Coturnix japonica: one gene and its partner. The protein of the gene in region 2 purifies or fractionates together with the protein of the main gene of each other region. This does not show direct contact. Links are inferred from orthologs where the notes say so. Each region holds a gene or a part of one and is shown on either strand. Other genes may lie near its edges.

What was found.
Region 1: the proteins of TADA1 (region 2) and USP22 purify together in Homo sapiens (affinity purification with mass spectrometry; 4 studies listed by BioGRID and IntAct, with this or other methods). This does not show direct contact. The link is inferred for Coturnix japonica from reciprocal best matches to the Homo sapiens genes TADA1 and USP22.

What each region holds. Positions count from the first base shown.
Region 1 is NC_029529.1:4,653,796-4,657,604, reverse strand, and holds part of USP22 (ubiquitin carboxyl-terminal hydrolase 22), read right to left. Parts: intron 396-3,809; coding exon 226-395; intron 1-225. UniProt on the Homo sapiens protein: Deubiquitinase that plays a role in several cellular processes including transcriptional regulation, cell cycle progression or innate immunity.
Region 2 is NC_029523.1:4,195,041-4,199,359, reverse strand, and holds the start of TADA1 (transcriptional adapter 1), read right to left. Parts: upstream 3,085-4,319; 5' UTR 3,048-3,084; coding exon 2,974-3,047; intron 2,884-2,973; coding exon 2,792-2,883; intron 2,005-2,791; coding exon 1,939-2,004; intron 1-1,938. Other genes in the region: PRDX6 (peroxiredoxin-6), read left to right, coding at 3,205-3,296, 3,471-3,627. UniProt on the Homo sapiens protein: Probably involved in transcriptional regulation.

The DNA of each region.
Region 1 (3,809 bases), on a different chromosome or scaffold from region 2:
ACAGCAATGACTTATGCTTAAGTCTTTAAAGGCCAAGAGTTTTCTTTTCAGCAGTCAGGTATTTCTGACAGTGGGATCTCAGTCTCTACCGCTCTCATTTGTGACCCCAAGGGGAAGCAGAATTTGCGTTCCTTTTACATTTGCAAATAGAACACAATCCCTTTTGGGATACAAAACAGCCAACATCTGCGGAAAGGTGATGCTATTGCAGCAAACAGCACTCACCTCCTGAAAAAGCGTAGACATTTCACAGACCAGACATGAGCTGGGGCTTTGCATTTCACATTTGTGCCTGTCGGAGAGGAAGAAATCTCGCAGCAGTGGAGTGTGGGTAAGTGCCTGGACAATACAGTTCATAAAACATGTGTTCCCAAGATTGATTAGCCCTCGTAGACCTATAAAGACAGAAAGGGAAGGGAACCGTAAGCATTATTGTATTTTAAAAATAGTATTTTTAAATTATTTGCATTTTTATGCCATTTTCACAGTAGTGTCAACAGATTTACTACGTACGTGTTGCTCCAAGTACACAGTTTTATGTTTAGGTAGGCTATTGGTTTTGATGTACTCAAGTCACAAGCTGCCTCAAGCTTTCTCAACTACACCATGGCTTGGTTTTGTTTGTTTGTTTTTGCTTTAAATTCTTAGAGGAACATAAAACTCAAAGTACAGCAACACCAACAGCGTTAATTTTGCAGAGGCTGTTTTCCCAACCGCCACCAAAACATGTTCCCTCCTCAAGCTTGTACCCAAAGGCAATGACAACTGATACACTGCAACAGTATGACACATTAAAATAAATCAGTTTGTTCTCAGACCACTTAAAAGGCTTTCCCTCATGCAAGTCAGAAAGTCAAAGTAAGGTTTTTGTACTGATAAAATGCAACAATTATCTTCCTAAGACAGGCAGCAAAGGAAACGGCCTCAGTATAAGCCAAACAAAAAGCCAGTGACATCCAGGACAGACTTTGTGCTTCCTCCTTTCCATTCAAGGCCTGAGAACTGAACAAAACACCCTTAAAAAGCAACTCTGAACAGTGCTAGTTCCACTCACTTGTTTTAACTACATCAAACGTTTATCTACAACACACATCACAAAAGTCAATTCGGCATAAGAGGATTCATCACACCTTAAGTCAAACGTTCAGTAACGCCCAGAGACGGTTTCTTGTGCTTGGAAACCAACGTGCTTAAAGGAATGCTCTTTTGTTGCACAACAGAAGAGAGGTTAGGAGTGGGGAAAGCTTTCAGTCATTTGCAAAGTCTAAGCGAGAAGAAAAACATGCTCAAGTCCTTGAGTACTCTTCCAAAACATTAACAGACTGCCACCATACAGGAGTGCTAAACAAGGTCATCAGGTGGACAAGAATACTGATTTTTTAATCAAAAGTTTACTTCAAAATAAGAAGAAAAATAAAGCACAGACATACATACAATTTTGCTATCAATTTAAAATGAACGCGGTCCTCTTTTGCGATATAGACAGAATTACTACGTAAACCATGACTGAAAGAAATGACGTGATAGAGAACAAAGAATTGCCTTGCCATTCTACAGGTGAAAAAAAATAAAGGAGTATCAGCTGGCAATGCTGAGCTAATTAAAAACGGTACAGTTCCCTTGCAGTACACCAGGCAGTGCTGAAAGGGCTCTTCAGCATCTTTCAGCAGGAGGAGGTGTGGTCCAGTTGCTATGTTACCAGAGAGAAACGGCACTACATCAGCTGGAGCTGCACATTGAGCTGCAGGCGATGGGTACAGAGCCCTCTGAAATCTCCTTTTCTGTATCTAATGAAACACAGCCCTCCTTCCAACAGCTTCCTGGCGCTTCTGTTTATTCACAGTGCAGGACAAAGTTCCTCATGTATATTGCAGTAACTTCTATTGGGCAGAAAGCTCAGTGCAATCATCTGCTTTATTCTCATGCTGGGAGGCAACAAATGTGTGCACAATATTAACAAAGTGTTAAATAGTTAATTTGGTGCAGCAGCCTGAAATATGGTGTGATGCTGCAACTCTGCACACATAGGAGTCTATGTCAATCTCCGGTCTACACGTCTCTGCAAACGATATAAAGCAGAAAGATGAACACGCTGTGTAAGTAGAGAAACGTTCAGTTGGTATCTCCTGCCTACTTCTCTCCTTTATCATCTATTCACAACTTACTGTTTTTATTTAAACCAATCTGTGCCAACAGATGCTTGTGAGGCTCCCTGGGCATAGTTGAGATGCACTGGGGTATTTTGAGCAGAAAACTCTCTCCCTGTTTCTCCCTGGAAGACTTGGCCCCCTGGTTAGCAGCAGCATTCAAAGTCAGCCTGCGCAGCACAGAAGACAATTGGGAAACCCAGCAGGTCCATCTGGAGACTCACCCTATATTTTTTTTTCCTTGGTATCTAGTAGAAAAATCAGAAGTAAAAGCAAACACATAAAGGCAGCTTTTTTTGGAATCATTTATTAAACATCATTTATTACATGCCTGAGGCTGGACCTTGTTTCCCTGTGACCCCAAGAAGAATCAATCTTCCTCAAAGCTTCCAGACAACCAGTTACAACTCCACAGGCTCTCCTGCTTTGCTCTTGATTGGTCTTCAGTGTTGGTCTTCCATGGGTTAAAAAAAAACAAAGGTGCTTCTTACGCTATGGCATCACTTGAATGAACCAACACAAAACAACCTGCAAAACAGATAAGGCTGAAACGTGAATACCTCAGACCCTGATAAAAATAAGAAATGGTGAACATAGTAAAACATGAGAACTTACTTAACTGGAAAGGGAAAAAGGTAAAGGAGCATCTATGACTCTTATCCTTGAGGGAGCAATGACTGCAGCTGCTAAACTGACTCTTAGACTGACATCTGAAATAGAACAGGTACAATGCACTGAACTACAGCTAAGCTACTGCACAACTAATTGGAGCATCCTAAAAACATCAACTTTTGATGCACACATACTGAAGAGCTGACTGAACTTATAAAGACACATTCTCTTGTATGGAACTCTCATGGAAAAGGAGTTTTATGGGAGAGAAGCAGCTAGAAAGCAAAGCCCACACAGCATTCTGCCCAATGTGATATTCAGAAAGTAAATGAGTTGCGTCTGCCACACCCTCGCCATTAATAAAGTCTGGCAACACTTAACTGGAGGAGACAGCACTGAAACATAACAGTCATAAATTAAGAGAAAAATAAAGCATCAAAGTCTTAAATGCAGCAGTCTGCTTTTGCTAGTATGAACACCAGTAGTCCCCACCAGTATCTAATCACTTGACAGTCCTTGTCTAGAGGGTGGGCCGATGCCAATGATTCCCAGCAGATCTAATTATACTTATAAGGCTGTAATAAATGGTATATTTCTTCTGTGCTTTTTAGTAGTAACTTTATCTCTGATTTTAGTGAACTGTTTTTGGAACAAGCAAAAGCAACCAGTGAGACACCTCAGCTCTAAATGCAGATGGCTGTTCCTGCAGTAATCCTGTTTTGCACAGTAGCACTACTTTCTTTGTAACTTTACAGATAGTTTCCTTCCACACTCAACTCTCAAAGCTGTGTTCTGAGCAGCAGGCTTACCTTTGTTACCTTCAGTTCTTCCATCTTCTTCCAGTAGCTTTGGTTTTTCAGATGCTCAAAGCAATTGATCTGCAACGCTGGGCAAGCACGCTGTTGTATGCAGGAATATCCAGAACAGCAGTTCTGCATGTCCACCCATGCAGGTGAGATGTAAACACCAACACAAAATAAGGAAATTCCACTTGTCATAGGGGGCAGGGGGCACTGGGGAGGTGGAAATGAAAGGACCACACATGAACAC
Region 2 (4,319 bases):
CCCAGTTGTCACATTCACCCACTGTGCTTACAGGTCCCCAGTTACCACAAGTTATTTTTTAAACAATAACAGTTTTAAAATGTTCATTTCCTTCTCGTCCCACTTACATGAAGGTGGAAGTACACGCACCAGCATCTGCAATGGCACACCAAGTGCCTCGAGCACACTTGCATCATGTATTTGTTTCCATAAATCAGTCAGAGAGCAGCTTCTACTCAAAGCGCAGCACTGGAGGCACCCTGTTAGCTTCCCATTCTTGTAGGGACAAAAACCAGCAGGTGGCAGGTTGGCAGCTAGGGGAAAAGTGAATCTAGGCATGACATCAAGTGCTCCATTTGTACCACACCTCTGTGTCTGGACATCCAAGCTGCTGCACCACAAGCAGCAGACAGGCAAACAACAGCCCTGCCAGAGGGCAAGATGCTCCATGCGGGTTATCTCCAGGTACCTGGAACAGGCTGCAATGATCCCAGTTGGAAACAACAAAAACCCACAAAACTCCAAGAAACCACCAGCACGCAGCATCACCTGCAGAGCACAGAGCCAGTTCTCTGTGATCAAACTGAGCTTCTTCAAGCTGGCTTCTGCAGAATGAGCCTGCCTAGAAGCACAGCCACCATGTGCTAAGTGTGGTCAACTAGCACTCAGTTACACACCCTTACTGATCCACAGAAACAGGCTCTTCAAGGGCTCTGAAACAGCATCAGCTCCAATGGAAACAAGAGTCCTTGCAAGGACTTGAGATTATGAGGTTGAAGTGGGAAATAATGGGCACATGGACGGCACCTGTGAAGCACCAGGCCCAGGATAAAGCACTGGGACACTTAACCCATTCCTAGACAGCTCTGAGAAAACATTATGGCTTTTCCCAGACTGCCAAGTCTGAACTATTCAAGTCAGTAGAGATGAAGTCTGCCCAAACGACTGCAGAAACTCTGCACAGCTACATGACTGGGTAAAGAACAAGTGGAAATCCACACAGACAAGCACAGCAGCGCACACAGGAATGAATAACCCCAACTTCAGTCACACAGCAGTGCCACCAAAACAAAGATCTTGGGTTATGACCCACACTCCCGCCAGCCCAGCAATCCAAAAATCCAACCAAGTGCCAGCCAGAGCAAACTTCACCCTTACATAAAACCAAAACGTTGCTGACCCTGAACAGAACCAGCAGTTCTTCCCCCTCAAAAGCTCAGACCCAGCTACTACAGATACTTTCCACAGAGGGAAAACAGCTCTCTCAGACCTCAGCTCACCACAACTGCAACCATCTTCTCTCCTTCACCACACAGCAGTTTCATACCTTAAACTGCAACCCAACTGTCCTTCATATCAGATCTCTAAATTGACAGTTATTTTGAAGATCAAGCAGAAAATAGCTTGCCAGCCTGACAAGAGCCATTCAGAATGCTTACACAGCTAAAAAGGTTTGATATCAAAGGGGCAGAAGGTTGGACTAATTGACCACAGCTCAATTAAAAGTTAGCTGGAAGCATTCAGTAAGCACTTTTCTATCAGATGAATACTTGATTTCAAGATCAGTCAGGAAAACCCAGCTCCTCAAGATATTATCCACAAGAGAGAGGGGAACAAAGAGGGTACCACCCAGCTGAGAACACAAAGGAAACAGCAAGCAGAGCAGATCAAACACAAAGAGCATCTCCCATTCACTTTACTTTCCAGCACTCACAGCCCAACAGACGCCCAGCCTGGAAATCAAACTGACTTACCACAAACAGCAACCCAGCACATCAGCCTCTAAGAGATCAAATACAGTCACAGTGAAATCACCTGGATAACTACCTGGTTACCTTTCTGTCTGCGTGGCAAAATGAACAGGAATATTAAGGCTCCGCAAGCAGAACAGCCACATACAAAGCCCAAACACATGTGCCAAAGCTTTACTGATTAATTTTAACAAGACCTGGGACTCACCTGGTGCAGAAACCAAGATCTGGCATCGGGTAAGAATGGCCAGGAGAAAGTCGTTGTGTGAGTGGACTGCATGAAGACAGACAGCTCATTAGGAACACACTGGTGGTCACAGGCGCTGGCTCAAAGTGGGTCTCCGTGTCTCCTCACAGCCATGTTTTCACCATTCACTTAGCTACAAAGTCACAACTCCCAATATAAAGTTTTTTAAGAGGTCTTTTTTGGTTTTGTTTTTCTCTTTGCTTAACCCAGAACCTGCTGCTAGAAGGCATACAGGTGCAAGCTGGACAGCTTCTCAGTGCACCATGCACAAACCCAGCCCTAGAGCACAATGCATGGCAGCTCAGCTGCACTTAGCCAGCAACAAGGAGGCCTGGCTGCCCTCCCTCCCATACACCTTCTGGCAGCAGGGCTTAGGGTTTGGTTTAAAGGAATAAAAGAGTTAAAATAAAGACACAAGGAGAGCCAGCACTGAGAGCGGAATACTCAGTACAAGAGAGCCATGGAGTACAAGAGAGATATGGACCTGTTGGGAGGGCCAGAAAAGCGACCCAAGGGATGGAATAACCATCATAAGGAGAGATATATGGAGAGGACAAGGCTCTGGAGACACCTGAGAGCGGCCTATCAGTATGTACTGTAGGCAGCCAAGGCCATGGATGGGCTGTAGGCACTGCTGGAGCCGGGGTGTCCCTGCTCAGTGCAGGGAATGGGACCAAACGGGACCAAACGGGACCAAACGGGACCAAATGGGACCAAATGGGACCAAATGGGACCAAAATGGGACCAAATGGGACCAAAATGGGACCAAATGGGACCAAATGGGACCAAACGTCCCCCACGGCCGCTCCGTTACCGTTGTCCTGCGTGAGCAGCCGCCGCGCCTCCAGGTCGAACTCCTCCTTGCTGATCTTCTGCTTGAACCACAGCTTCAGGTTGGCCCAGTACCTGCGGGAGAGAGGTTATGGCGGCGTTATGGCGGCGTTATGGCGGTGTTACGGCTCGGCGGTGTGTGCCGATGCTGGGTGCGGCGCTCACTGTTTCACGTTCTCTCCCAGCGCCTCGCTCAGGCTCTTCTTGGCCGCCTCCAGCTCGCTCACGTAGGTCGCCATCGCCGCGGAGCACGGGAGCGCGGAAGTCGCGAAACGCCGTAAAGCGCGGCGCTACGTTACGACAGCGGAGGACACGCCCCCCCTTACCCCGAGCCGAGCGGATCCGAACGGAGCCGAACAGATCCGAACGGACAGTGAGCGGAGCGGTGCTGTCACCATGCCGGGGCTGCTGCTGGGAGACGAGGCGCCCAACTTCGAGGCGGACACCACGCAGGGCCGCATCCGCTTCCACGACTTCCTGGGAGACTCGTGAGCAGCACGGCGGGGGAACGGCGGGGGGCGGAGGGGGAACCGGGGCGAGCTCAGCCTGTGTGTCCCGGCCTGGGGACGGAAGGTGGGGGGGGGGTGGGAGAAGAACGGGCCGCTCTCGGCTGGAGTGATACAGTGAGCTTCGGAACCCATAACCCTGCGATCCTCTTTCAGATGGGGCATCCTCTTCTCCCACCCCCGGGACTTCACCCCCGTCTGCACCACGGAGCTGGGCCGGGCGGCCAAGCTGGCATCTGAGTTCAGCAAACGCAATGTGAAGATGATAGCGCTCTCCATTGACAGCGTGCCCGACCACCTGGCATGGAGCAAGGTAGGATTGTGATTCTAAGCCAAACAGGGTGCTCATGGAATCACAGAACCCTTACAGTTGGAAGGGACCTCTAAAAGCCATCTAGTCCAACCCCCCTGCAGGGAACACCACAACTAAACCAGGTTGCCCAGGGCATCATCCAGCCTCACACTGAAAGCCTCTCCCTCACCCTGCAGGGATGGGACACCAACCACATCGTTAGGGCCACCATATCACTCGTGTCCAGGCAGGGGAAAGCACACAAAGAACAAGCAGTGACACGTTGAATATAAAAGTACAAATAAGAGCGTGTTAAATATGAAACGGTCATAGGGAAATAGAAGAAAGGTGGCACAGAAATAGCTTGTTTAAGGAACCAGAAAAGCTGCTCATGGAAAACTTCAAAGGCAGTGTCAACAGTGGTGTGCTGCCAGGTAGCATGACTCTACATATTAGGGGTATAAAATGAGTACTGAGTGGCCAGAGTACAGGACTCTGAGTGAGTTATCTGCTTCTTTCTTTACTCTTAAAAGTGGGAATGTTCTGTCATGTTTTCCAGCAGTCAGACGTATGCAAATAAGAAGTAATAAAGGTGAGAAATTTCCACATTCAAACACTACTTCATGTCTGAATGGCTTTAGAAATTGCCTGATTGCCTTATTGCTTAAATCGACCTTTGTGCCTGAGTGGTGCATAGCTGATGTCCCACCAGG